3 linked regions of the Ovis aries genome follow. The main gene of each other region encodes a partner of the protein of the gene in region 3 in a complex. Links are inferred from orthologs where the notes say so. Each region holds a gene or a part of one and is shown on either strand. Other genes may lie near its edges.

Evidence for each region. The genes of interacting proteins can lie anywhere in the genome.
Region 1: EXOSC7 (region 3) and EXOSC5 share a complex: the UniProt entries of both Homo sapiens proteins name them as parts of the RNA exosome core complex. The link is inferred for Ovis aries from reciprocal best matches to the Homo sapiens genes EXOSC7 and EXOSC5.
Region 2: EXOSC7 (region 3) and EXOSC4 share a complex: the UniProt entries of both Homo sapiens proteins name them as parts of the RNA exosome core complex. The link is inferred for Ovis aries from reciprocal best matches to the Homo sapiens genes EXOSC7 and EXOSC4.

The regions. Positions count from the first base shown.
Region 1 is NC_056067.1:50,091,237-50,098,627, forward strand, and holds the start of EXOSC5 (exosome complex component RRP46), read right to left. Parts: upstream 4,704-7,391; 5' UTR 4,703-4,703; coding exon 4,369-4,702; intron 1-4,368. Other genes in the region: BCKDHA (2-oxoisovalerate dehydrogenase subunit alpha, mitochondrial), read left to right, coding at 5,015-5,122. UniProt on the Homo sapiens protein: Non-catalytic component of the RNA exosome complex which has 3'->5' exoribonuclease activity and participates in a multitude of cellular RNA processing and degradation events.
Region 2 is NC_056062.1:13,708,396-13,715,558, reverse strand, and holds EXOSC4 (exosome complex component RRP41), read left to right. Parts: upstream 1-2,869; 5' UTR 2,870-2,928; coding exon 2,929-3,099; exon of another isoform or gene 3,100-4,047; coding exon 4,048-4,254; exon of another isoform or gene 4,255-4,277; intron 4,278-4,351; coding exon 4,352-4,711; 3' UTR 4,712-4,760; downstream 4,761-7,163. Other genes in the region: GPAA1 (glycosylphosphatidylinositol anchor attachment 1 protein), read left to right, coding at 6,044-6,117, 6,339-6,518, 6,604-6,715, 6,884-7,031, 7,111-7,163. UniProt on the Homo sapiens protein: Non-catalytic component of the RNA exosome complex which has 3'->5' exoribonuclease activity and participates in a multitude of cellular RNA processing and degradation events.
Region 3 is NC_056072.1:54,174,279-54,181,809, forward strand, and holds the start of EXOSC7 (exosome complex component RRP42), read right to left. Parts: upstream 4,807-7,531; 5' UTR 4,773-4,806; coding exon 4,716-4,772; exon of another isoform or gene 4,470-4,715; intron 1-4,469. UniProt on the Homo sapiens protein: Non-catalytic component of the RNA exosome complex which has 3'->5' exoribonuclease activity and participates in a multitude of cellular RNA processing and degradation events.

The DNA of each region.
Region 1 (7,391 bases), on a different chromosome or scaffold from region 3:
AAAGCATGGGCGAGCTCACCTGCATCTTCCCTGCCTCTGGGGTCTGACACGAGGAACTTAACATTGTGGGCCCTGAGCTGGGTGGCCAGGGGTCCCCACGTCACCCTCACTCTGGCCCACCCCTTGTTGGCAGCGATTCCTTGAGCATTTGCTTCATGTCTCTGCTTCTACTTCCTCATCTGTAAAATGAGGATAACTACAGTACGTCCCTGGGACTTTCCTGGTGGTCCACTGGCTAAGACTGAGCTCCCAGTGCAGAGGGCCTGGGTTCAACCCCTGGTCAGGGAACTAGATCCCACAAGCTACAGCTAAGAGTTTGCATGCTGGGACTAAGACCCAGTGCAGACAAAAAAAAAAACAAAAAAGCAAACACCTATAGGACATCCTTCACAGCTATGAGGATTAAATTAGATAAAAAGAGAAACACTTAGGATGCTGCCTGCTAAGTTGCTGAGTGCCCAAAGGACTTTAGCTACTATTACTAACTTTAACAGGAAGTTCTTCCTGAGTGCTAACCCTCCTTCTTACTGCTGCTGGTCCCAACTTCTCCTTCCAAAGCTCCCCCGAGGCCGAGTTCTCTTCCCTCTAGCTCACGTCCCCAAACTCTGTAGCAGTCAGGACACCTGAGAAACGGATGAATATCTAGGGCTGGCTCCTGACACCTGCTTATTTCCTCCTGGCTCTGTAATCTCAGCTGATTTTGCTTACTTCTCTGGGCCTCAGTTTTCCCATCAGCAAAATGGGTAGACTGGACTACAAGAGCAGTTTCCAAACATTCCTGATCCTAACTCCCTGTAAGAAATACATTTTAGACTCAAATACACTTCAGGACCCAAAACTCACACAAATCTGTGTGGATATAAATGGAATGAACGCCTCCCAAAACAACTCTTTACTGTTACTGCTTTGACGTACTCGGAGATTTTCTACTATATTTCAGTTACAAAGAACCATTAAAGGGGACTTGCCTGGTGGTCCAGTGGTTAAGAATCCACCTTCCAATACAGGGGATGCTGGTTCGATCCCCGATCAGGCAACTAAGCCTGTACATGCCGTGGAGGAACTAAGTCCATGCACCACAGCTAACACCTGACCTGACCAAAGAACAGAAATAAGATGGAAACAAAAACAAAAACCCACTAGTGAACACAGTGGTTCTCAACCCCGTATGCACACTGGGCTTACTGCAGAACTTTGAAAGATCTAGATGCCCAGGCCCCTCCTCTAGAGAGCCTTAATCCCATTGCTGGGGGCTGAGGCTAAGGCACTGGGAGCCTCAGAGCTCCAACAGGCCATTCTAATGTGCAGCTGGACCTGCAACCTGCAGTGGGAAGACATGGAGCTCCAGCACGGTTTCAAAACACAGGCCTGCAACCAGAATCGCTACAGCAGATCATTTAAAAATACAGAGGGCTGGCATCCCTGGGTTGGGAAGATCCTCTCGAGGAGGAAATGGCAACCTGTTCTAGTATTCTTGCTGGGATAATCCTATGGGCAGAGAAGCCTGGCTGACACGACTGAGCAACTAATCAATAAGGACAAAGAGGGCTAGCCTTAGTTGGCATAGGTGGGTTCTGGGGCTTGGCATTTTTAACCTCACTGGAGAGTCTAGTGAGGGTTTGCAGAGGACCCTGCTCCAGGGTCCTGGGCTTTGGGGTTTTAGAACATACAAGGGGCTCAGTATTTCTTTCTTTTTTAGAACACACAAGGGGCTCAGTATTTCTTAAATTCTAAGAACCTCCAGGCACCTGCACTGAGCAAGAGATCTAAGCCTGGAGAGGTCCCTGGCAGAGGCTTTTTTGTTCTGGGGCTGGCGAGGAAGAGCTGCTATACAACTGAGGGGCTCTCTTGGCTCCAGGAGAATGGACCCTGGAGGAGGAAATTGTCCAAGCAGAAATAGATCCACACCGGGGTCTTCCTTCCTGTTACTCCAAAGGCACTGTCTGTGCTTCACCTGGGCACAAGAGTGCCTCTCTTCTCATCTTCCTGAGGCCATGGCTCTAGCAATTCCCTCCCCTGTGGACCCCACATCCATCTAACTCCTCGCCCATCTATCTTATCCTTTTACAGCAAAGTTCCTGAAGAGCGGTCTCTGCTCACTGTCTCTTTCTTTTCCTCGACTCCACCCCTCCACCGGAACAGCTTTTTCTTTTTTACATTTTACTTATTATTTTTGGCTGTGCGTTGGGTCTTCGTTGTGATATGTAGGTTTCTTATTGCACTGGCTTCTCTTGTGGTGGAGCACAGGCTCTAGGGTGTGTGGGCTCAAGTAGCTGTGATGCAAGGCATGTGAAGCTTGCTGGACCAGGGATCGAACCTGTGTCCCCTGCACTACGAGCTCAGAATCTTAACCAGGGAAGTCCCAGAGTGACTCTTGGCTGCACCACCTACAATAGACAACCAGGTTGTCAACCCACAGGTCTAGTCCATCCTCACGATTCAGTCTCTCAGCCGGACCAAAACGGTTGGTCCTTACATTTCAGACACGTTCTCTGGGCTCCAGGTCGCTGCCCTCTCTTGGTTTTTCTCCTACCTTACTAGTTGCTCCTTCTCTATGTCTTTTCCTAGCTCCACCCAGGCTAGAAGGCAAAGGGCTAAGTTCTAAGTTCTCTTCTCCACCTATATTGATTCTCTTGTTGATTCTATCCAATCAGTAGCTTGAACTGCCAAAGGACTCCCAAATTCCAGCCTTGTATGTCCGACTGCCGAATCCACACTGCCATGGGAGAGTCTATTAGGCCTTGCAAATGTAATGTTCCCAACTGAACTCATTGTCTCCCAGCACAGCTGGTCTGGGTAAAAAACTGACCCTGTCACACCCCCAAACCAAACCAGCTGCAATTTATCAGTTTGCCTTCAGACTCTCACCACCTGTACTGCTTCCACTCTGGTCTGCACCACCCTCCTCTCCTTTCCCCCGTGCCCTTTGCCATCAACACTGCAGCCAGAAAGTCTAAAATCTATAAAAAAAATATATATTCAGAGCATGTCACAAGTCTCCATTCTCAGTCACTAGACTTTATATGAGGGGCAGGTCTCCTTATCGCCACCCCACCTCCTGTCACCGCTGCAGGCACCCCGTCCCCCTGACTGTCCCTCAAACACACCAGGCAAGTTTTGGCCTCAGGGCCCTGTGGTTCCTAATGCTTCATAAGCTTTCCTCTTGATCTGTTTAGGGTTTGCTCCCCCTGCAAAAAGCCAATTTTAGGGAAAGAAACTGCTTTAAAATTTTTTTATTTGGCTGTACTGGGTCTTCACTGCAACACGCAGGATCTTTAGTTGGGGCATGCGAACTCTTAGTTGCACCATGTGGGATCTAGTTCCCTTACCAAGGACTGAACCCAGGCCCTCTGCATTGGGAGCTCAGTCTTAGCCACTGGATCACCAGGAAAGTCCCATCTTTAAGTGTTTATTCAAAAGGTACCATCTCAGTTGATGCCTTTCCTGACCATCCTAATTAAGACTGCAACCCTCTCTGGCACACCCCAATCTACACCCTTACTGTATTTTTCTTGTTTTCTACTACATATTTTACTTATCTTTTGCCTGTCTCTCTGACTAGAATGTAAGAATGTCAAATCCGTTACCGCAGGGATTTTTAAAAAATTTATTTACTTATTCTCAGTGTCCAGAACAATACTAAGCAAAGGTACATGTTCAATGAAAGAATGAATGAAAGCAGGTTTTGTATTTGGGTTTCAGGTAATGCCCTAGAGCAGGGTCTGAAGCATTTATGGGGGTGACCCTTAGGCCTATCTCCAGAGGAACATTTCCCTCAGAGGCGTCAGGGAACTGAGTCTAGTTTCAGAGTTGTTTAGCTAGGAAAAGGGGATATTTCCCTAATAGGTAAGAACTGCTCCAATCTTAGGGATATAAGCAGAGTTGTGTATCCCAGCCAAAGGGACATTTACCCAAGAGGTGGGGCTGGGGACATCACCATCCATCTGAGAAGTAACTATTTGGATAAAAGATCTGCCACCGGGCTAGGGAGTACACCAGAAGTGGTGATCTGACAGTCCACTGGGTATTTATGCAAACAAACAGGTTTGCCTCAGCCTGGGATGTATGGACCCAGGGTGCGTGTATGGGAAACCGGAGAGGAATCCAGTCAAGGGAGACCCCGGGGTAAGAATATTTCCCCTATTCTGGAGTATTCATTCTTTAGAAGCGGTCTGCCCTCTCCCATTCTGCGTACTTTAACAATCTTCTCCTTGCTAGTCTGGAGGGAGAGATATATGTCTACCTGCGTATACAGTAGTGTCCACCCAGGCAAGAACTGCACTAGTTCAGGAGAGATTTTTACCAGCTAGCGCGATACATTGTAACCGCCCCCCGCCCCACCAAATAATACAACCTAGTAGTTCCTACCTTGCAGGAAAGAGGCAGAGCCATCAGGCCGGGACAACAAGTTCTGTTCGCAGGCAAAGTGCCGGAGGCTACAGCCGGGGCCCCTAGGGCCGGGCTCTGTCCGAGAATCAGCCCGAATCTTCGATTCAGTCTGCATTGCCCCCTCCATAGCCCCGGAGCCCACGTGCAGCCGGGGCTTGTTGCTTCCTCCCAGAAGCGCGCGCTTGCGTACGAGGTGCGTACGCTGTACGCACGCGCCGACCCGGGGGCTCCAGGAGTGGCGCCCGCACGTGGCTCGGCGTTTACTAACAATCTGGACCCTCCCACTCCCGCCTCGAAAGTCCAGGAAAGCCATTGGACAGAAGAGAAGAGTGGGCGGGCCTTGGCATGAGCTCGTCCTACCCGAGGCCCCCGGCCCTGAAACCCTGAGGCTCTGGACGGGTTGTCCTCTTCTTTGCCGGTTACAGGAATAACTAACGTGAGGCGGTCAGAGTAATTTTGGGAAGTTAGGTGGCTTTATGCACCTACATGTGTGTCCCAGAGGCTGCAGAACTAGTAGCGTATGGTTTCTTGGCAGGGTGTTGCTGGCATTTGAGTCAGGCTTATGAAGGGGCAGCCCCGGTCTCGCCGAGGAGAGGGGCGGATCTCCGAGGGATGGTCAGCCAAGATGGCGGTGGCGGCTGCGGCGGCGAGGGTTTGGAGACCAAGTCGAGGCTTGGGACGGGCGGGCCTCCCGCTCCTGCGGCTGCTTGGGGCTCGTGGGCTGGCTAGATCTGTGAGTACCTGGAGCACCTGAAAGTTTTCTCGAAAGAGGTATAGGAATGTTTATGCAGTCTTCAGAGAGAGGGGGTTCCCTTAGGTCCCTGTAGGAAGTGAAGGAAGGGCTGTGAGAGAAAGGACGAGGGCTGGGAGAACCACTTGGACAGGACATGCAAGGGAATAACTTCCACTTCCTTAGGAGAAGAAAAGCCAGGCAGCTCCTTTGTGACCCTAAGGGAGGGAGAAAACTTGGAGAGAGCGAGGTAGTTACTTAATTGCCGCCCATCCCCAGGGGAGGCCGCTTGGAGAATACGGGAGAAGGGTGTGACCTCTCCCCTCAGGAGCTGGAGAAAATTGTGTTTGTAAGGGAAAGACTTTCTTCTCAATACGGTCTACTTTCAAGGAGGAGGAGAGAGACATCAGTTGCCCTTTCAGGGACTTTTATGGTGCCCCGTGTTTCTTTGCTCCAATTCTGATTTTTAAATAAACTGCGTTAAAAAAAAAATCTTTCTGGGACTTCCCTGGTGGTCCAGTGACTGAGACTCCGCGCTTCCAATGCAGGGGGCCTGGGTTTCATCCCTGATCAGGGAACTAGGTCCCACGTGCCGGCAGTTAAAGAGTTCGTATGCTGCAGCTAAAAATCCTGCATGCCATAACTGCAAGACCCAGTGCAGCCAAATAAATAAAGATAAAATACTTATAAAAAGTCGTGGCGCCTGTGCCTCCGGTATAGAACGGTAGCCAAGGACCTTGTTGGTTTTGGTCACTCTAAGGCGGAGGTGATCAGTGAATATTTGTTGAACTAATGAGGGGAGAGGTCCTGGCAGAGCACTTACTCCATATTTCTGAGAAACAGTGGAGAAATGCCTTGTTTCTTGTCAAAAGGAGCAGACTCCTTTTAGATTGATGCTGCTAATGGCATGCTCGCACAGCAGAAATGTAGATGGGAACCACTATTTAGAGAGACAGAGGCAGGGGACTTGAGAAAAGCTGTGAACTGAGATTTTGCATATAACAGAGTAGTGGTTAAGAAGATTGGCTCGTGCTAAATCATGTGAGGCGGTGTTCTGTAATCTGCCTTTTTCTAGCTCTGTAGCTTTGGGCAAGGGACTGCTCTTCTCTGGACCTGATTTTCCTCTCTGTAAAATGCTAACAATGGTCACCTCATAGAGTTGTTGTGAAAATTAAATATGTAAAGTGCTAAGAACTGGATCTGGCATATGATGAGGGCAATTGGAGTGTTAGCCACTGTTGAAAGTGAGGTTGGAGGGATGGGACAAAAACTCACCTCGGAAATGGGGGGAGAAGAAGGGAGGTGACCTGGGAAAGGCCTGGATTGGTGAAGGCCTTGGCGGGAATTCTGTCCAGACCTTGTGGGGCTGGGTCTGACCATCTGATCCCAAACCATTAGGAAAGGAAAATGGAATTTGGGGCGAAGCTCTTGCTAGAGGGAGAAATGGGAGGAGGATGGGCTGTGAATAATGTGTGGGAAGACCTAAGAAGGGAGTTACTTGAAGCAGGTAATTTCAAAAAGGTTACTGGAGCAAGAGGGAGGTGGGAGAGTCCCTGCCTTTGGGCTGGTCTCTGTGGGGGTTTGGTTTTGATTTGAGCAATCAGATCCTCCACAGCTCCATCCCTAGGGCCCATTGGTTGAGCCTGTGGAGTGAGGGTGAGCTTGACTGAGTGGGAGAAGGGAAAGCATCACTCACGGCTGATTAAAGCTGCTTCCTTTCTGGCTCCACTCCTTGCTACTCTTCCCTCCTGCCTTCCCCCCATTTTTTTTTTTTTTTTTTTTGAGTGAGATCTGTTGGTGGGGAGGGAAGCAGGGGGAAGTGGTCTTTCATTATTTATTTGGCTGTACTGGGTCTTCCTAGTGTCATGAGGGAGCTAGTTCCCTGACTAGGCATCGAACCTGGGCCCCCTGCATTGGGAACGTGGAGTCTTAGCCACTGGACTACCAGGGAATTCTCCGTGTATTTTTAGAGTCCCTGTTTCGTCTTCTCCACTTTTAATTATCTCACTTGTTTTTAAGTGTTAAAAGAAGAGAAAAGAGTAGTAGCATTTACTCAAAGATCTGGGATCTGGTGTGTCCAGTAGCAGCTTCCCTCGTGACTCAGATGGTAAAGAACCCTCCTGCCAATGCAGGAGACACAGGTTCGATCCCTGGTTCAGGCAGATCCCCTGGAGAAGGGAATGGCAACCCACTCCAGTATTCTTGTCTGGAGAATCCCATGGACAGAGGAGGCTGGCAGGCTGACTTTTTGTGATGATATCCACGTTGTTCA
Region 2 (7,163 bases), on a different chromosome or scaffold from region 3:
TTTGTACAAACAAATGTGCTTTATGCTGAACCCCTCCTTTCTTCTTTAGGAGTCCAGGTACATCCAGGCAGAGGCCTATGACTGTGACCAGCCCCTATGAACACCCTGGGCCCTGAGTCGCCAGTGAGCTTCTCTAGTGGCCAGCATGTCACGTACCATGTTGCAATTTGTTGCTGGGTGAATGGAGAGTGTCCCCTGAGATTCTTCAGGGAGAGGACTCTGGAAGGAGGCACCTGGTTTCCTCTGACTCTGCCCCAGCAGGCTTTTCCTTTTGATTTTCATTAACATCCTTTCCCCTGAATCCTGGTCATAAGTACAATTCTGTGTGCTGAATTCTTTTAGTTCTAGTAAATAACTGAATTCAGGGCCACGGCTGCTCTTGGGGATCCTCAACACAGCTCCCAAATCTGTATAAGCTTTATAGCCCTCAAACCTGAATCCACCCAGGTGTGTATGCTGTGACTAGAACACAAAGGCCAGAGAACCAAGGGGTTCTCATTCCTGAGGTGCCCAGACCTTAAACCAGAGATACTACTAGGGGTGGGGGCGGGGGAGGACACTTCCATGAGGGGCACAGTGAGACATGCAGTATGAAAAGAACAGCCACCCCCCCAGTCACTTTGGGCTTCTTAGGCCCAGAACCAACATTATTCTGATTATCCTGAGCTGCTAGGGCCAACCATGCAACAGGTGGGGCACCCAGGGGCTTCCACCTGTGTCAATGGACTACAGCAATCTTGACCTAGTAAGAACAGAAACACAAAGTGTCCACAGTGCTGAGAATAAGGCCTGTGTGACTCCACCGGTAACCTGCTCAGTCCAGCTGAAGAGCCGAGGGTGAGGGCACTGAGCCAAACAGAGGATGACGGCCATCAGGGCCATGGCCCAGGCGCAGACAAGGCCTCGTGCGGCAGTATTCCAGACCACCTTGGAGGGGTCACTGGGCCTGGGACTTAGGCCCAAGCCCACCACAGCACGTCTGTTCCACTTGCTCTTCCCACAACTTGACACTGAACTGCTCCTGTGGGCGGGGAGGGAGGACCATGTCATCTCCCCTTGAGCCTGGCAGACCTTGGTGACTGCCTTGACCCACAGTCTGGCAAGAGTGACACTACCTGACTTCTGGAGGCTAGGTCTTAGAACGCCACAAACACCCACTTTGTCTTGGGAGTCCACCTTGGTGCCGTGCTTTGCGGAAGCCCAGGCTGGATGGAGAGGCCACATGAAGATGTGCTCTCTCTCAGAGCCTCAGTTGAGCCCTGGCCAACAGCCACCACCTGCCACCAAAGACGTGAAGGAGGAAGGCTTCACGACAATGCCAGTCATCGCCAGTCACCAATGACCACAGACAGGAAAGCCCCGAGTGCACACCGCCCTCAGCCCCAGTGAATGTCGCCTCCCTATAGTCAGTGTCACAGCCCTGCTGATTTATCCTTCCCTATTCAAACCTGAAGCATGGGATCTGGTTTCTAAGCACTGCAGAGGGGCTGAATAATGCCCTAAAGTTGTGTCTGACTCTTACAACCCCATGGGCTATAGCCCGCCAGTCTCCTCTGTCCATAAGATTCTCCAAGCAAGAAGACTGGAGTGGGTTGCCATTTCCTTCTCCAGGGGATCTTCCCAACCCAGGTCTCCTCCACTGCAGGTAGATTCTTTACCAGCCGAGCCACCAGAGAAGCCCGAATAATGCAAATGAGGAGGGTAATGAGCTCCCTGATGGTGACCTTGACCACCAAGCAAATGGTATCTGGAAACAGGAGGCAGCTGTGGAGGAAAACATCTCATCCCCCCTCCTGTGAGCCCCTCTGCTGTTCCAGGGCATTTGACATCAGGCCACGAAATGCAAGAGGAATGGCAGTAACCCTCTGAAGAGGGAAGGATTATGTAAAAAACTTTTAACATTTATTCCAGGTGGGAAAGGACGGAGAATCTAACTCCCACACAGCCTTCACTCAACCCCGGGACACACATCCACTGCCCACAATGGGGTGGTTGCTGGGTACATTCTACTTATTACTTGATACTCGTATCAACCAAAAAACTATGAGTTCCACAGGATTACTTGGACAGATTTTATATTTTTGAGTTAAATGCAAAAGTGTATGAAACAATCGCATTTTAAAAAATAAGAGTTCCAAAGGCCACTATATGGCTGTACATGTACAGCTGCATATACACGTGTCTGTGTGTGACCTGGATGTAATTATGAGTGTGAAGAAAAACGGAGCCATTTTTTAAGCTATAGTAGATAGGGGGATGAGTGCAGAGAAACAAGGCAACATGGAAAATTGAAACTAAAAAATTTGACCATGTGTACGTACAACATAAATGTGTCTGCTTTTTAAACGGACAAATGTAAAAACTAAACGGTTTAAAGAAAAAAAAAAAACAACTGCGAACAGAGAGTGTATCTCAGCTTGGGAGAAGGCCTGCATTTATGACCGCGGAAGAACTTAAGACCAGCAGTGGCGGCTATCGCCCGCAAACCTCGAGGGAGATACCAAGCGTCAAGCAGAAGTAAAGGAGCGCCAGCGGCGCGGGAAGCGCGGGGCTCAGTGGAGAGGCCGAGGGAGAGGCGGCGGCGCGGGGCGGGCAGGCCCGGATGGTAGAGGGAGCCGTCCCCATGACCAACCCGGGAAGAAACGACACGGCGACTCCACGTCCGGCATGCCTCCAGCCCTGCAGGCGCGAGTGCGTACCCCAAAAGGCCGCAAGGGTCCCTCCCCGGGCCCACAGCCGCAGTTCCGCAAGGACCGGAAATGAGATGTGGTGCCCTCGGGAACTCTGGGAGAATCGCAGGGGTCCGGAACCGGAAGTCGGAGTCGGTGCCCCGGAAACCGTAGTCCTGGGGAATCGGAAGTGGGGAGTCAATTCTACCGGGAAGTGTAGTTCTGCCGGGCGCTCAAGCCTGGCTAGCGCCCGGGCGGCATGGCTGGGCTGGAGCTCCTATCGGACCAGGGCTACCGAGTGGACGGGCGGCGCGCTGGGGAGCTGCGCAAGATCCAGGCGCGGATGGGTGTATTCGCGCAGGCCGACGGTTCGGCCTACATCGAACAGGGCAATACCAAGGCGCTGGCGGTGGTCTACGGGCCTCACGAGGCGAGTGGGCGCGCGCGAGCCGGGCTTCCTCCGGGGGTGGCCACTACGGGCTGTGAGGGGCTACCTGGCTGAGTAGAGGCCTCGGGGGTGAGGCTGGCGCGCGCCGCCTTGTGGGGCCGCGGCCAAAGTCCTAACAGTGTCTTGCACGACGGTCCCTGCCTTTCTCCAGCGCTCGCTACACCGCTTTGTTACTCCTAAAACCGCCAGGGCCGCTCTCACTGGCTCCCTCACCTCTCAGCTCCACTCCGACGTCACCTCTGGGTGACACCTCACCCCATCCCACCCCAGACCACCTTACCTACCCTTTACAAGTCAAGTTCCCTCCTTTACATCCACACACTTATCTGGTTTCCCGCACCCGCCTCCTCAGACATCAGTTTAACTTATTTCTCACTGTTTGTCTCCTCACTGGAACATAAACTCCGTGAAGACAGAGAGTGTTAATAAAACCGCTTGGGTTTATCACCACTCCAGCGCTGGAGACTTAAGGCCAGAGAGGTAGAAGTAAGCATGGCACTCTTGCAGAGCAGAAAGACTGGTGATGGGGAAGAGGGTGGTAATTCCAAATGAGACTGAGGGATTTCTAGGGAAGCAGGAACCCAGGACCTTTGTAAACAGGGAAAAGATTTAGGATTTTTATCTCACGCGTGATGGGAACTCTTTATAAGGTAAGCAGTATATGTATTGTGCAGAGGAGGTAGAATCAGACTTGATATATGTAAACAGATTCTCATACAAAGGAAGCATGGGGTCGAGAGAGGACGAGTCAAGAGGGGAAACAGGGAGGCCTGTCAGGAGAGAGATCCAGGGACGATGGTGGCTTAGAGCCTGGCCCAATGGCCCTCCCTCGGGCTGTGTTGTTTTGCAGGTAAAGTGGTTGCTTGTTGGGATGTTGGAGGTAGAGGGAGGAAGGGCCTGGCTCATGTGTTCTCCCCCACCCTACCCCAGATCAGAGGCTCCCGGGCACGAGCCCTGCCTGACCGGGCCCTGGTGAACTGTCAGTACAGTTCTGCAACCTTCAGCACAGGGGAGCGCAAGCGGCGGCCACACGGGGACCGCAAGTCCTGTGAGATGGGTCTGCACCTGCGTCAGACCTTCGAGGCAGCCATCCTTACACAGCTGCACCCACGCTCCCAGATTGACATCTATGTGCAGGTGAGCAGGCAGCAGCCCTCAGCCTGTGGAGGGGAGAGAGAAAGGAGGAGTTGGGGTTCAGCAGCTTGAAACTCATGCCACTGGGGGGTTCCTGCAGGTGCTGCAGGCAGACGGCGGGACCTACGCAGCTTGTGTGAATGCAGCCACGCTGGCAGTGTTGGACGCGGGGATACCCATGCGGGACTTTGTGTGTGCCTGCTCAGCTGGCTTTGTGGATGGAACAGCTTTGGCAGACCTCAGCCATGTGGAGGAAGCAGCTGGGGGCCCCCAGCTGGCCCTGGCCTTGCTACCAGCCTCAGGCCAGATTGCACTGCTTGAGATGGATGCCAGACTGCATGAGGACCACCTGGAGCAAGTGCTAGAGGCCGCTGCCCGGGCTTCCCGGGATGTACATACCGTACTGGACCGTGTGGTCCGGCAGCATGTACAAGAGGCCTCTGTCTTGCTGGGGGACTGAGCACAGGGCCACCCAAGCCCAGAATAAAACCTAAGCACCTTTCACTGTACTTTTATCTCTTCCCCACCGCACTTCCTTGCCCTTGGATCCTGGCCTGGTGCTGGCTCTAGCAATGACTAAGGGTCCGCCCCCAAGACATGCACTACACACCCCTTGCAGCCTCAGTGCTGCTCACCCTGCTCATCAGGGTGCTTCAGGTGAGCACCCTGAAGAAGGCGGATGTCCCTGGATGAAGTGAGCAGCCTGGGCCAAGAAGGGATTGCTGGGCAGTGAGACACAGCCTGGTATAACGAGCCATGCCCCACGACCATGGAGTCTGTCATTCTCATCCCAACACATCCAGAGTCCTGAGCACAAGTCCTGAGGGGTGGCTTTGGGTATTCACTATGGTCATGTGGGGGCCGTGTCCCACATCCTCTGGATTGTGGCTGGGACTGAAGGGTCTCTTGCCCTCTAGAAGCCTTTTGGGCCTGTCCTGCTACTTCCCTTGGGCTCCAAAAGTACAACAGACACATAATGTCACCTGGCGTCTTCTCAGTCCTGACCCTAAGACAGACACTGCCTGCTGCCCCACCACTGCACCTTCCTCTTTCAGGCTCCCCCTTCTTCCACCTCAGACTTGACTGAGCCCTCACCACCAGGCCCTGCAGCCTGAACCAAGGGGCTGCTCCTTCTCTAATATCCCAGGCACCTCCTGGCCCAGACAGGGGTGCTTCCCACTTTCTACTCAACACACCCCAGCTCCTTTGAAACCCCTTGGCCAGTAGTTTCATGCACCTTCTTCCCTGTGGTCATCGGACCCCAGTGATCTTGGTTCTGGACACATGCCTGATTCCACTCGGCTGGTTTTGGTTATTGACATCCATAGGAATGGACCCACCAACCCCTTGGCCTCTCTGCGGAAGCCCCCTCACATCCTACCACGGCTGTTAGACCGGTCAGTGCCAGTGGGAGCACCTTCAGAGATCTGGCGTCTGTGTTCTTATCGCCGCTTCCGCTTTTACTCCCAGCTGCCCTATTCATCACTCTTCTCTGATTCCAGTTGGAGCCGAGCTTTCTCGGGCGGCCGGTAGTCTTCATTGCCTCCGGTGCGGCACACTGCGGGTAGCCTACCTGGGGGCCGCTCTCTCTGGACGGGCTACAGGCTGGGGAAGCCGGACCCGGCTTCGCTCCCTCCACAGCGGTTCTGCTCTGGGCATGCGCAGCGGCGCGAGGGCCGTCGGGACCGGAAGTACGGGCGGGCGCGGAGCCCGGGTCTGACAGGAGCGGCGCGCGGGGTAGGCTGCCGTAACTGGCAGTGGGAGCGCTGTCCCGGAGCCGCCCGGCCCTGCCATGGGCCTCCTGTCGGACCCGGTGCGCCGGCGCGCCCTCGCCCGTCTCGTGCTGCGCCTCAACGCGCCGCTCTGGTGAGGGCGGGGCCCCGGGGTCAGAGGCCCCTCAGACCGCTCGCGCCCGTCCCCTCCCGCCCACTGGGATCAGTCGGGGCCTCAGGCTTGGGGCTCAGCTCTCCCGTCGGGCGTCCCGGGACTCAGTCCAGGTCCCGCAGATATGCCCTCTCCACTCCCAGTGCAGAGACAGAGGCAGGGCCTCTAACGCTCCGGTGGTCCCTCCGTCTCTCTCCCCGCAGCGTGCTGAGCTATGTGGCGGGCATCGCTTGGTTCCTGGCGCTGGCTTTCCCGCCGCTGACCCAGCGCACTTACATGTCGGAGAACGCCATGGGCTCCACCATGGTGGAGGAGCAGTTTGCGGCCGGAGACCGTGCCCGGAGCCTTGCCCGGGACTTCACTGCCCACCGCAGGAAGTCGGGGTGAGCGGCCGAGCTATGGTTATCAGAGAAGCAATGTCAGTCAAGGCCAGTGAACTCTGCTCAGAAGCTCTCTTTGTGTCTCCAGGGCTCTGCCAGTGGCCTGGCTGGAGCGGACGATGCGGTCAGTGGGGCTGGAGGTCTACACGCAGAGTTTCTCCCGGAAACTGCCCTTTCCAGATGAGACTCACGAGCGCTATGTATTGTGGGGGAGGGGTGTGCCTGCAACCGTGAAGCACCTTGAGGGGGCGGGGGGATGTCCTGGGGCCAGAGCAGTCACTGGTGGGCATTTCTAGGACTAGAAGGGGAGGCTCTCAGCCGCCTCGAGTGCGGTCGTGCTGAGGCTCCCCCCCAAATACTGTGTGCAGATGGTGTCGGGCATCAACGTGTACGGCATCCTCCGGGCACCTCGCGCTGCCAGCACGGAGTCCCTGGTGCTCACCGTGCCCTGTGGCCCTGACTCAACCAACAGCCAGGCTGTCGGGTTGATGCTGGCTCTTGCTGCCCACTTCCGGGGTGAGGCTCAGGGGCTCCTACTGGCAAGAGAGGGTTTGGCCCCCCTCTCAGACCCTGCTGACCTGCTTCTGGTCTCTAGGGCAGATTTACTGGGCCAAAGACATCATCTTCTTGGTGACAGAACACGACCTC
Region 3 (7,531 bases):
GGTAACCCAGTCCTACTCCCTAATAGCAGCTGGCAGTCAGCTCTTGTAATCCAACACATGAAGTGGTCCTCTGAGGTGATGTTAACCCCTCACTACCTTGCAGAGATACCACATTGCCAACAAAGACCCATCTAGTCAAAGCTAAGGTTTTTCCAGTAGTCATGTATGGATGTGAGAGCTGAACCATAAAGAAGGCTGAGCACCGAAGAACTGATCCTTTCCAATCATGCTGGAGGAGACTCTTGGAGGGTCCCTTGGAGTGCAAGGAGATCGAACCAGTTAACCCTGAAGGAAATCAACCCTGAATATTCATTTGAAAGACTGATGCTAAAGCTCCAGTACTCTGGCCACCTGATGTGAAGAGCCGACTCATTGGAAAAGCCCGATGCTGGGAAAGATTGAGGGCAGGAGGAGAAGGGGCCGACAGACGATGAGATGGTTGGATGGCATCACTGAGTCGATGAACATGAACTTGGGCACACTCCGAGAGATGGTGAAGGACAGGGAAGCCTGGCATGCTGCAGTCCATGGGGTCACAAAGAGTCAGCTGTGACTGAGCAACTGAACCACAGAGCGCAGAGCTCACTGGAGGAGAACAGAGACCAGCTGGCCTCCCTACTAGGAAGCCACCCTACTTTAGAAGGAGCCCGGCTCTGCAGGCCCAGGCCCAAGACCCAGCAGGCAAACCAGATGTTGTCCTCGTTCCACTCTCCAAGCCTGCTGGGTGGGCCCGCATTCCTTTAGGATGGGATGCTGTTTGCCTTGCAAAGCTGCAAAGCGCCTGACCCAAAAGCATGCAGGCCAGAGAGTGGCCAGCTCTCTGGGGCCTGAAACTGATTCTCTCCTTAGAATCTGATCTCTGATCTGGGAAATACTTGGCAGGGAAAGAGAGTTAAAGAGGAGCTGATAGGTCATGATGTGGAGGGAGGCTGGAGAGGCCTCACAGAAGTAAAGATGGGCAGATGGCGTGTACCCAGGTGGAGGGCAGCCTGACAGCAAGTGGTTGTGGAGAAGGGAGACACTGCAGCAGAGAGAAGTAGGGGTGTCTCCAGAGACAGAAAGGCAGGCAGAACCACACAGACACGTGATCCATGCTGGGGCCCCGGAGAGGCAGTGTCCAGGAGCTGCCTAGGGACAGCTACATCCAACAATTTAATAACCTCTCAGTTCAGTTCAGTTACTCAGTTGTGTCCAACTCTTTGCAACCCAACTCAATCTCCCCAAATAAAAAGAGCTTAAATCTCAACAGCCACAGGCTGAACCCCTCACGGGGTCACTGTGAAGGCTGCAGATACAGTACGGATGGTTCTGGACGAAGCCACACTTCTGACGGGAAAATCTCAACTGGGAGCCAGCGTCTCTTCCGGGCTGAGAGCACGCCAGGTGGTCCATGTTCCCTTTCCTCGTCACTCCTCACAGTCCTGTTCTGTCCCCCAGACAGAAGTGTTCTCATTTTACACAGGGGGAGCTAGCTTACTACACTCTTACTGTGAATGGTGGAGCTGGGAGGAGCCCTGCTCAGTCCACTCCAAGTCCTCATCCAAACAGAAGCTGGAGGCCATTGACCTTGTTAGGGGAAACACTGGCAGAAACCACCTGCCCTGGCCAGACCATTAAGGTTCCTATAATAACCATTTGCAGGAGATATGTTATCTTACAACAGGACATCCTGGTAAAGAATGCGGAACTAATAAGCTACTGCTATCTTTTCCTTTTGGGAAAAGTCAAAAGGAGAGAGGGGATGCCAGTCCATACATACTACTAACGTCCCAGAATCCTCCTTGCTGGAATCCACCTTGGCTGAGTGATGTGTGCGCCACCAGGAAGGATGCTGCGTCAGGACGACTGGCCAGAGGCAGCCCAGAAACTAACTTCATCACCGTGAAACCCGAGGCTGCGAGCTGCACAGCAGAGTAGTTCTCCCGGGTTCCCTCACCCTGCTGCTCTCCACTTGGGTGCCCCTTCCCAATAAAGTCTCTTGCTTTGTCAGCACGTGTGTCTCCTTGGACAATTCATTTCCAAGTGTTAGACAACAGCCTACTCACTGGCCCTGAAAGGGGTCCCCCTTTCTACAAACTCCTCAGGCAGAGCGGCAAAGATTTCTACAGCAGACTCCAGGCAGGCTGGACCAAGCCAGTGGCTGGTCCAAGGTCCAATGTCTAGTGACTGCATCAAAATCTCCCAACATTTATGAAAATACCCATTCCCAGGCTCCAGCCCCAGCCCCAGCCCCAAGGATTCTGATCCAGAAGATCCAGGTAAAGCCCAGGAAGCTGTATTTTGTGAGTAAAAGGCACTTCCAAGGTCTCAGAATTACTGGGCTAAGACAGAAGTTAGCAATGTCTTTCCAGGGAGGAAGAAAGCACACATTTAGCCAGTTAAGCAAACCTGAAAAGAAGATTAAATGCTAATTCTGGAAATTCTGAAACCTGCCCCCAATTCCTGAATATAAGAACCAGCTTGGGACTTCCCTTGTGGTCCAGTGGTTAAGACTCTGTGCTCCCAATGCAGGGGGCCTGGGTTGGATCCTAGTCAGGGAACTAAAATCCCACAGGTCTCAAATAAAGATCTCAGATGCTGCAACAAAGACTGACGATCCCTCAGCTGAGACCCAGCATAGCCACGTAAACAAAATACTTAAAAAACAAAACCAGTCAGATACAAGTAAGTAAAACAAGAGTTGTACAAAAAAATGCTAACTAGGGTTCTAAAGAAGCTTAGAACCAACGTGGGAAAAACATTACCTAAAAAGGTAATAGTAATATATGTCCATATACTATTTAAGGCCTAGAAAAATGCGGCGGGGGTGGGGGTCAGAACTTGCCCTCCCTGCTCCTGTTTTGCCGACGCGCTTTCAGAGGACAGAGCAAAGAAAGAGAAGTGGAAGCCGTGGGCATTCTCCCTGGCTTTTATTTCTGGGTGCCTATTTTTAAAAAGGGAAAATAGCACAAGGCTTGAGCTGGGCTTTACAGTCAGATCTGGATTTATATCCCAGTTCCACTGTACAAAGAGAGGGTGGGGGGTTCCGGAAAAAGGCAACCAGGCATGCATGGCTTTCTGGACACAAGGGAAGCCATTTTAGTCCTCAGCCTTTTTGTGATCTACTCCTGGCCACAATGCTTGCCCTTGAACATGTCACGGTAATTAATCATCTTGAGGGAACTACAGAATTCAGGAAAAAATGGAAAAGCAACGAAGAAACAACAGTTCTCAGATAAAACGGAGCCCTAGTTTTTCTTCAATGGATATACTTAACAGTTTGATACGAACCTTCGAGTTGTTCTACAAGAACTCAGGGGCCCACTCAGCTGAAGGATGGTAACTCCAGGATAAGACCCCAACGTGGCCACAACCTGAAGATGGTGTTGCCCTTCTCTTCCCCATGGTGAAGTGAAGCAAAGTGACAGTCGCTTATTCGTGTCTGACTCTTTATGACCCCATGGACCATACAGTCCATGGAATTCTCCAGGCCAGAATACTGAAGCCATTCCCTTCTCCAGGGAATCTTCCCAACCCAGGGATCGAACCCAGGTCTCCTGCACTGTAGGTGGATCGTTTAGTAGCTGAGCCACCAGGGAAGCCGTCCCCTTGGTGACTCCAATCAACTAAGGCCTGGACTCCGCTGACCTCTGCCCCGACTTTAGGCCTCCTCCTCTGCTCAAGCCCCTTCATGACTATACACGTGCCCTTAGCCTGTTTTCCAGTTTTGCTATTGGTAGACATTGCTTCTGAAAAGATTCCCAGAGTCCCCTTGCTGCTAAGTCGCTTCAGTCGTGTCCGACTGTGCGACCCCATAGACGGTAGCCCACCAGGCTCCCCCGTTCCTGGGATTCTCCAGGCAAGAACACTGGAGTGGGTTGCCATTTCCTTCTCCAATGCATGAAAGTGAGAAGTGAAAGTGAAGTAGCTCAGCCCTGTCAGACTCTTAGCGACCCCATGGACTGTAGCCCACCAGGCTCCTCTGCCCATGGGATTTTCCAGGCAAGAGTACTGGAGTGGGGTGCCATTGCCTCCTCCGAAAGTCCCCTTACTTGATGCAATTAATAAATTCCTCCTTCTCCCATTCTCTGGCTTGGTTGTGTTTTTTGGTTCAACATCCAAGGGTCAACCCCGGAGAAGCGACGGCTACCCACTCGAGTATTCTGGCCTGGAGAATTCCAGGAACTGAATAGTCCATGGGGTCGCAAAGAGTCGGACAGGACTGAGCGACTTTCACGACCAAGAGTCAAACCCCAGTTTTGCGGTAATACCACCACACACTTACCTTACGACCTCAGACAACTGACTTAACCTCTCTGACTTAGTTCCTTATATGTAAAGCAGACATAACACTCACCTTCAGGACTTAACAAAAATTCAATGAGATTAAAAACTATGACAGAGCATGTATCTAACAAAAGTGAGACAGCTCAGCCTTCAAAGGCTGAGAGGGGATTTAACAGAATCAGGGACTGCCCACCGCGTCCTACCCGAGCTTGGAACCTTGTAGACCCGGAAAGATCCAAGTACGCATACAGTCTTAAACGGATGCTCGCCGCCTGGTCCCAAAGACGCCTGCACGGGCGGCTTTAGAGCTGCACATGCCGGCCGCATAGCGGTCTAATCAAAGGTAAACCCAGCCTGCCGCAGTCTTTCCGGGCAAGCCGAGGCCCGGCATCGACCCGCAGGGCCAAGGGAACCCGGAGGCCGGCGCCAGTACTGCCCGCTGCCGCTACCTGAACGCCATGCACAATGTACACCTTCTCCGCCTCGCTCAGCGCCACCGACGCCATGCTGCCGAGCCTTCCCCGCCGCTTGACGTCATCCGCCCGCGTCGCCCCCCGCCAGGCACAACCCCCCCTCCCATGCGTCATCAGCCTGCGCGGCGGCCGCTCCTGCAGCTGCCGCCGCCACCACCGCCGGGGAGCTCGATGGGCTTCTCCTGCGCGCCGCCCTGTGTCTGGCCGAGTCCAGGGAGCCGCGGCGCCTCGTTCCTGGGAGCCATCGCTGCAGCCCAGGGCCGGGTCCCGGGTCGGGGGCTGAAAGGGGAGCGACGACGGCAGCGGCAGCCGGAGCCCCACCGAGGGGGCTGGGACTGGGGAACTGCCTCTGGCTTCACGGTCAGTCGGGTGAGGAAACTGGGATCCGGCGAGAAAGCTGGGGCGAGGCGCCAGGCGCGGGCCGGGGCCGGAGCTCGAAGGGGTAGCGGTGGAAGAGGCGTGCGGCGCAGTTTGCTCAGAGCTGGAGTTGAAGTAGCCGGTCGTGTGCGTGCGTGTGTGTGAAGAAAGAGACCGACCCCAAGTGAGAGGTGGCGGACGTCGCGATTGGCCTGAGAGAGGCTGTCTCTTGGCTCTCCTTCCTGCCCTCATGTCATGTATTTCTCTGGCCCATGGGATGGTGGGGAGGAAAGAAGCGATCAAGCCCTCTTTAGGTCGTTCTCGGTGATAAGGATCTGGCCGGGAGTGAATGCCCTTCTAGTCCCGAGACGTCTTCAACTGCACCCCATGGATTCCCCCACCCCCCCACCCCCGCTCTCTCTGGGGCTGGCTGACCGAACGCTGACCCCCGCCCCGGAACCTTGCAGGATCCCCATGTCCCGGATGGTTGCCGGAGCTTTGTCCCAAAGAGAGTAGAAGGGAGAGTCTTGGTCAGCGCTGGCGGGGGGGGTTGCGGGGGCGCAGTGCCCCGGCGTCCCCAGCGCTTCCCAGCAGGGACTGGAAGCCCTGGCTTGACCGGGTGATCGCTGGGAACCGTGGACAAAAAAAAAGAAATGCCGGCCCCAGTCGTGACCAAGTAGGAATATGGGCCTTGAATATCCAGAAAGGATACCTGCAAGGTGAACGTGGGGTCACTGAAGGAGCCCATTAAGGCGGGGTTGATAAGGCAGGAAACAGATTTTAAAGGGGCCACGTAGATAAATGGAGGAAAGTTAACCCAGAAGGATAGTAGCAACGAGGGGATCTGATGATTTTTCCAAGTGCCCCACTTTTGAGGAACCTCCCTGTTGTCAGAAGTGAAACTAACCCTTGACTGCTTGATCCTCCAAAGAATGGTTGGTGTCTCAGATAGTAGCCTCAATACAGTTTCACAGATAACTCTTGGGAGCCTACTGTTGATGGGCTTTGTGCTAGCTTTGAGACACTGAGACAAGTGAAACACAGCTTCTGCCCAGAGAAGCTCCCAGGCAGAGGGAAGGCTCCAGACCCAGCATAAACGTGGGGGTGAACAGCTGTGACAGTGGCACCGGTGAACATAGTGGGACCGGGAGGTTGTATACCCTCTGAAGAGGGTATGGAGAGGACGTACCTGCCCACATTCTGAAGCCCTAAGCTGCCGAGCCCCCAAATAAATCATCTCTTCTTAGTGGACTGGACCTTTCGTTGTTTCCGGTCTCTCTGTAACTCTCTGCAGGTGTACCTATAGGGAGGATGTCTTGCAGTGTTGAATTCTGCCCTCCAGGAGACTTGGAGAGGTAAACCCAGAAGGGTTTCCTCCTTCATGAAAGTACAGGTGCCCCACCTGTTGGGACACATGCGCCTGGAGGCCTTTGGGTGATTGAACACCTGGATTCTAATGAGCACCTGGGTGATGAGATAACAGGGCACTTCTGGTGTTAGAAACGGTGTCTTGTGCTCGATCGCTCAGAAAGAAGAGACCCCGGATGTGAAATTTTAATAGGTGGGACATCGAAGAGGAGCGAGGGTTTAAAAAGTGGCAGCGAATAGATCAGAAAAGTGAGGGAAAGAAAATTCTGGGTTTGGATACCATGGGATCATCTTTATGTAAAAATCTTTCAGTGTGTCTTTCAAACTATAGAACATACATTTGAAGTGTTTCCCAGATAAATGACTAAAGATTCTCTGCTGGAGGATTGGCAGTATTTGCTAAATAACATTACAAACAATGTCTGACATGTTAGCCTAAATCGATATAAGACATACAAACAATCGAATGTTTGTTTTAAATTTTCTGCTAAAAAATTAAAATTTAAATTTTCTGTCTGTTAGTGACACCTTCACTAACTGTTGTACTTTAATGCAGCCAGAACATTTTTTATCACATTTCTTGTGATCATACGTTAGATATTTCAGAACCCCATAAATTCAGAGTTCTTTTTGGTTTACTGAAGCAGTTCAAAGACTGTACGTTTGCCAGAAAATCCAAACACCAAGGATGGCATATTATTCTATTAACCAGCTTGTTTTCCCATCACTGTCAGATTCTTTTGGCTGCATGCTGATTTGTAGGTCCGTCTGTCCTAAATCTCTGTATTCTTATTAATTATATCTAGTAATAACAGAAGCATAATAGTGCTTACTATCTGCCCAGCTCTGTTCCGAAACACTTCACAAAGACTAACTGATTCAGTCCTATTAACAATAGCCCTGTGAGGCAGGTGCTATTATCCTATTTTACAGATTGGGAGACTGAGGTACAGAGAGATTGTCTTGACCGAGGTCCCAGGTCACATAACTGGGAAGCAGTAGAGTCAGGATTTGAGAGCAGACAACCTCGCTCCCATACCTGCATTCCTGACCACCCCTTTATGCAG